Saccharomyces cerevisiae S288C: one gene and its partner. The protein of the gene in region 2 interacts with the protein of the main gene of each other region in a pairwise test. Each region holds a gene or a part of one and is shown on either strand. Other genes may lie near its edges. The genes, in order: GPI18 and EMC5.

Region 1 (3,741 bases), on a different chromosome or scaffold from region 2:
TCGTAGAACTAATGTCTAATAGTATTGCGAATCTTGTCGAAGGTGAGTTCATGCAACTGAAAAATACTTCCATTGACGCGGATATCGATACCATCGAAAATGGCCATAAGCTACTTCCGGTTCCTTCTAAAAAGCTTGAAGTTAAAGAGCACGACTTTCGTGTTCCAAGCCGCCAACAGGGGCTGCAATTATCTCATGATCAGATTATAGAAACTGCATTTGAATACTACATACACAAGACCTATCTGAAGACTGCTGCTTTGATATCAAAATCTTGCAGATGTGCTGCTATATTATCTGGGGCATCACCTGCCGTTATCGACGAATGCTATGATTTCGGTAGAAATCTAGGTATATGTTTCCAACTCGTAGATGATATGCTTGATTTTACTGTGTCTGGAAAAGATTTAGGGAAGCCATCCGGCGCGGATCTAAAATTAGGTATTGCTACTGCTCCAGTCTTGTTTGCATGGAAAGAAGACCCATCTTTAGGTCCACTAATTTCACGCAATTTTTCAGAGAGGGGTGATGTTGAAAAAACTATTGATTCTGTGAGACTCCATAATGGTATAGCGAAGACGAAAATACTAGCGGAGGAATATAGGGACAAGGCATTACAAAATCTACGGGATTCTCTTCCTGAATCTGATGCTCGTTCTGCCCTAGAGTTTTTAACTAATAGTATACTAACAAGAAGAAAGTAAACCTTGAAATTTCAAATAAAGGGTGAAGAATAAAGAGAAAATGAAGAAGGTCATAGTGTCGCATTATTCTATATTCTATATGTAAATAGTTTTTATATGTTTTTAGTAAAAGAAGAAATATACAAGCATTAAGGATCAGGCTGGTGGTAAAAAAGCTGCAAATAGGATAGTCTGTAAAGGTATCCAGAATGCCAACCAGTATATGTAAAACTTGACTATCTTATCGTCACCTTTCGGATTTTCCATTTTTTTTGGATCAGAAGTTTTAACCAATCTATCAGCCAAATACCAAAGGTGCAAGGGTAAAAAGGAGGCTATACGATTCAGAATTTGGACATGGGCAAAAAAGCATACTATGACGACCAGTGCTCTGGTGATCCATACGAGAGCCTTCAAGTTATAGGAGGGATAAATTTTGCTGAAATATATGGAGGAATAGATTAAAATAATAATATTTGGGACAGCAAACAAAAAGTTTGGGATGTTGTTTGGGGTCCAGTATTTCAATAACCCAACTCCCCAATAATGACTCTGAATGTAGGAATATAAAGAAGTTTTCGTGATAAAAATGCTTGAAAACAATTGAGATTTACACCATTCACCCCTTTGAGGACAAAATGTCTTATATGGTAGGTAATATTGTTGATATAGTAGAGCAGAAAACATTAATGATCCTGATAATAGTGGGAAACATATTGCTTTTACAAACTTCCTGTTCTTTGTTAGTTCAATAAGGTCAAAAATAAAGTAAATCCCTAACAAAACACAGTTTGAACGATTCAAGGATGCTAAGGTAAAGCAAGCCATGCTGATAAAGGAGTAAGGAAACCAATATCTCCACGAAATATCGAATTGACCCAATACGGGCACGGAAATGGAGCATTCACGACTCCAAATACCAACAAATGCAAAAAAAAAAGATAATGGTTCAGAATATATGCTTGTTAAAAATCCAGCGGCACTCGTTAAGAAAAACAACAGAGATGTTTTTTTAGCGATAGTTCTAGCAAACTGTGATTGCCTTATATTTTGGCTGAAAATTTTTTTTGTTAGAAAATATAAAACAATACCTGACAAGTAAAATAAAACATTTTCTATTGCAACTCCAACCCTTAAGGCATGGTAGATGCTATCGTTATTACTTTTAATAAACAGCCTAACGAAAAAAGTCCACAACTGAGAAAACGCGTATTCATGCTCAAATTGAGGTTTTCCGTTTTTGGAAGTTATGTTCTTGATAAAAAAAACACTGTCCCATGATAGTAGCTTATTCCAAAAATACTTGTTCCAATAACTGTTGATTTCAGAGGGAGAAGAACATAATTCGTTTAATAAAAGTGATGTTGATGTATCAAACTGCCTAATTGGAGTCAAAAAAACCAGTAAATACTGTATTGAACGGAATAATACAAAATAAAGTGTCAACCCCACAATCATATTTTAATTTAGTCTTATTCCGCCTCCTCTCTCGAAGCCTCTCTTTTATGTCTTTTTTCGATGATGAGGCTTACTTTTTTTTTCAACTAAGCCTTGAAAAAAAAAGTTTGATTTAAAAGGGATTTTCTATTTTAAGTATTTAAATGACCGACAGGAAGCTCATGCAGAAAAGGCACCTGTAATAGCTTATTGATCATTCCAATAAATAGGAAAGTATAACTCGAATTAAGAATAAGGAATGGGACTTATTTCATACGAAAATGAGGCGATAAACGAGGTGAAAAAGGCAGATAACCATCACGTTAGCAAATTTGTGACTAGTTACTATGGGCCATCATCGTCGTCATGGCAGTCAGGAATATGGATTTTGTTTGTGCTGTTTGTTGCCGCAGTAATCCTTATAATACTGTTCACTTTTGTAGCGAACAGAAGGAGACGAAGGATGGGGCGTGCTCCCATTAGAGGTACGGCATGGTTGACACCGCCTTCATACAGACAGTCTCAGCAACAATATACTGGGACCGTTCAGCAACGGACAGATGATTATGTTCCTGAGTATACAGAAACAGCGAACGAACATGATCTTGGATACTATGACCAGCGGGGCGAGTTTCACCCCAACGATAAGGCTGCATACGTGGCCCCCCCGCCATTGGTACAAGAATGTTCATCAGAATCTGTTAATTCTTTAGAAAGACCTCCCGCTGCTGTAGTTCACCAAGCTAACTCTTTAGATACGGATTACGGTTTAACAAGGCCTAGCAATGGGCGCGTTCCAGCTGTAAGTGATACGGTGGAGCAATTGGAAAGGCTTCCGGGCGGGACTACAACGCAGGAAATTAACCCACCGGAGAGGGCAAAGGTAAATGCAAGGTCATGAACTGAATCTTTTTTTCCGGCTGTCCTCTTACAGTTGAGTTACAATATTTTGCCAGAAATATTTACATTTTTTTACCCAATCTCTATAATAATTATTTTAATTCCTAATCCGCTTCAGGCCCGCGGTCGTTGAAGTGCTATAGTTTATATTCAGTACATTGTCTTTAATCTCTCAGTATTATTTTATCAATAGTAAATACTTCAAGTCCATCGCACGGCGTGGTGGTGATAAAGGGAAAATGCGCGCGGGATTAGCAAAGGCGGCCAATGGATTAAGGGTGACAAGATAGCACCACATCACATCACATCACCATCAGTAATGGAGAGGAAATAGGGTATAAATACTCGTCAGAGATCAATAGATATTATTTCGCAACGTCCTTTATTGTTCTGTTCTTATTTGATCAATTAAGCTAGAAAACCAGCTACATTAAAAGCAAATTTTACAAACTACTATTTCAACATGACTTTGAGTAAGTATTCTAAACCAACTCTAAACGACCCTAATTTATTCAGAGAATCTGGTTATATTGACGGAAAATGGGTTAAGGGCACTGACGAAGTTTTTGAGGTGGTAGACCCTGCTTCCGGCGAAATCATAGCAAGAGTTCCCGAACAACCAGTCTCCGTGGTTGAGGAAGCGATTGATGTTGCCTATGAAACTTTCAAGACGTACAAGAATACAACACCAAGAGAGAGGGCAAAGTGGCTCAGAAACATG
Region 2 (2,992 bases):
GACAGAAATAGCACTATTTTATATCTGAACGTATTCCACGGTCTGTGTGCAGGTGCCAACAACCCCAAAATCCAAACTAAGGACAGCGTTAAGGAAATAGTTTTGCCTTTATTCTACGATTTGTTGAATGCCGCATCCATCGAATCTGCTGATATTCTGTGTCCTCTCCTAGAGAGCTTTATCACATTTTCTCTGGATGATTGGATATCTATTGGATATGAAACTGAATTAAAAAAAATTACCGACAAAACTATTAAAGCATTTATGGATTCTACAATCGGGAATTCAAAAGTTGACATGAAGTACGATATATTTGCTAAATTCATTCACCATATCCATCATTTTGAAAAAAAGGAACTGCAGGAAAAATTTTTAAACCAGATAGCTACATTGAAAATTCATTTAAAAAAATTTCTACAGGAAAAAATGGATCCAAATAATTCTAGGGACGACTACAAAGATTTAACTTGTTCTTTGTACGAGCTCTACATCAATAAACTGACAATTCTTGGCAGGGATTACCCAATCGAGGTTGATGAAGAGTTGTTGCAACTGTTTTTGAACAATTTTGTTTCCCGTATCCCTATAATGTTTCAAGATTTTGATGATAGTACCGCTCAAGAAATAAACTTTAAAATGCTAGTGTTATTAGCCACATGGAATCTGGAAAAATGGAGAGAAATAATAGAGAAAGTAAGGGATTACGAGAATTCTATTTCAAAAGATCTTAGATCAGTTTGGAAACCAATTGCCGCTATAATAGGTCGTCTAAACACACTCGTTATTTCATTGGCGGCTACAAACGAAACATTTGAAAACATAAACAGCTTGTTTTACTTAAAATGGTCAGCTTGCACTTCATTAATGGATATAATCGTTGCAATAAAAATATTTGAGCTCAAATTGCCTGCAGACGCTACAACATGGAGATATAGTATGAGTGAACAATTTCCATTTTACCTTCACGATAATGCTTCCAAAGTGCTTTTGAAAATATTTTTATATTTGGAGAGTCTTTTCGCTAAGCAAGTTGACGTCCAATTAGAAAGGGTAGCAGATGAAGACGCCAACCTAAATGATTTGCCGGAAACCGGGTTTTTCGAGAATATTGAAACTGAATTCCTTTTATTCACAGTTAAATTGAAGGGACTAATGAAACTGAATATTTTAGATGAACGATTTGCTTCCCGTGTGGCACTAAACAAAGAAAAGCTTGGCCCGCTGTTCAAAAAAATCGTAGATGATACCATAATGGAAAATCCAGAACCTAATAAAAAGAACATACAGAAAGCAAAATCAAATCAAACACAGAGGGAAAAAGCGCCTTTACAACCCAACAGTGAACGAGAAACCGACCATGCAAATACTGAAAATAATGATCCAGATATTCCCATGACAATCGATCTAGAACCTATTGAAGAAAGTTCGCAAAATAATTCAGAGTTAGCACCAATTGAGGAACACCCAACCGTGGTAGATGCTATAGACAACAGCGACGAAATCACACAAGATTAAGGGAAAAGATATACGTCAGACTTATTGCTCTTTTGTAAAACAATAAGATCTATAATATATATCACATCTTTCTTTTGAACATACATAGCTTCGTTAGCAGTTTTTGATTAATCATAAATACTTCAAATATCCCTTCGCATTAGACTATACTCGCTGGATGATATTCGGCTATGTATTTTCCAAGCCCATTCAATCGTCATCAAAGCGCCCTTTGCTTCTTCGAAAACTCGCGATGTAAACGCAGCGCAGAAAAATCTACTTTTGAATATAAAATAAAGTCAACTCAGATAGTTGTTATGCATGTTAATTGTAGCATCTAAAAAGCGATCGTAATTAAGCCCTACCGAGATACAAAAAAGCAATTATCAAGAGATGTCGTTTGTTTCCAAGCTTCTCTATACAGTCTCTGCATTGGTGTTATTTCATTCTGGTTTCTCAAGCTATGAGTTTCATCACTTATTAAAACTTAACTCGCTTAATAATGCACAAGGTGCAATCAGCAAGTTACCTAAAGATATCATGTATGAAACGTATGCAGGATTGATACTCTTTGTTCTTGCAGTGTTCACTTCGTTCGAGAAATTACAATATTTACCAATTGAGAGTAACGATGGGAAGATAATATCCCAAGGAAACTATCTAAAAGAAATCGCATTAAATAAAGCCACCAACGTGGATAACTTGATAGGAAGTAACCCTAATGGTGAGATCATATTTACTCCAAGCTTTGTTGACGTTCATATGAAGAGAAAAATTTGCAGGGAATGGGCCTCTAACACTGTAAAAAAAGAAAAATAAATAAGATACTGAAAACTAGAGCTAGAACTTATAATTTCATACATATATACATATCAAGATCTAATAAGAGGATTAGCTAGATTTTGAGCATAAATTCGATAGCGAATCTACTCGAACATCGTAACTGCACAAAATAAGGCGTCAGGTGACCAGGCACCTCTTCTATTTACACCAACACAGACGCCTTTCATAGAGGAATAGAAAGCTATATTAGAATCACCAATAATGCAAGCGTCTCCTGTGTTCTATAACGTGAACCATAAGCTTGAGTGGTTTCAAAAGGATTACGGGGCGGATAGTATCTTTTGCGTCTTCGTTGGATAGTTTGTTATTAAGATACATAAATACACACTAAATTTAGTGGTAAAATCTTCTATTCAATATTATCGAGAGTCTCGGTTTGAGGGCTAACACTCTAATGGATAACCGTTCGGAATATTTCTATTCCAGTTTACATAGTATAAGTACGATATTCATCCTCATGTTAGCGTAAGTGGAACTTGTTCAAATCATCCTGAGGTACAGACAAGCCCTTATTGATGATTCATTCTGTTATTTCAGGAACAGGTAATAGTTCTCCACCACTTGAACGCCCATGCTAGTTGTAAGGTGCCGTATAAAGGCAGTTATGATATCATGTATGCGTTTATTATAAGTATTATCGCCTGCAGAAATAACA

What was found.
Region 1: the proteins of EMC5 (region 2) and GPI18 interact in a protein complementation assay, tested with the Saccharomyces cerevisiae proteins (2 studies listed by BioGRID).

The regions. Positions count from the first base shown.
Region 1 is NC_001134.8:243,527-247,267, forward strand, and holds GPI18 (GPI-anchor transamidase GPI18), read right to left. Parts: upstream 2,142-3,741; coding exon 840-2,141; downstream 1-839. Other genes in the region: COQ1 (trans-hexaprenyltranstransferase), read left to right, coding at 1-704; RCR1 (Rcr1p), read left to right, coding at 2,380-3,021; UGA2 (succinate-semialdehyde dehydrogenase (NAD(P)(+))), read left to right, coding at 3,484-3,741. UniProt on the Saccharomyces cerevisiae protein: Mannosyltransferase involved in glycosylphosphatidylinositol-anchor biosynthesis. Responsible for the transfer of the second mannose to the glycosylphosphatidylinositol during GPI precursor assembly.
Region 2 is NC_001141.2:303,000-305,991, reverse strand, and holds EMC5 (Emc5p), read left to right. Parts: upstream 1-1,887; coding exon 1,888-2,313; downstream 2,314-2,992. Other genes in the region: cohesin subunit IRR1, read left to right, coding at 1-1,515. UniProt on the Saccharomyces cerevisiae protein: Part of the endoplasmic reticulum membrane protein complex (EMC) that enables the energy-independent insertion into endoplasmic reticulum membranes of newly synthesized membrane proteins.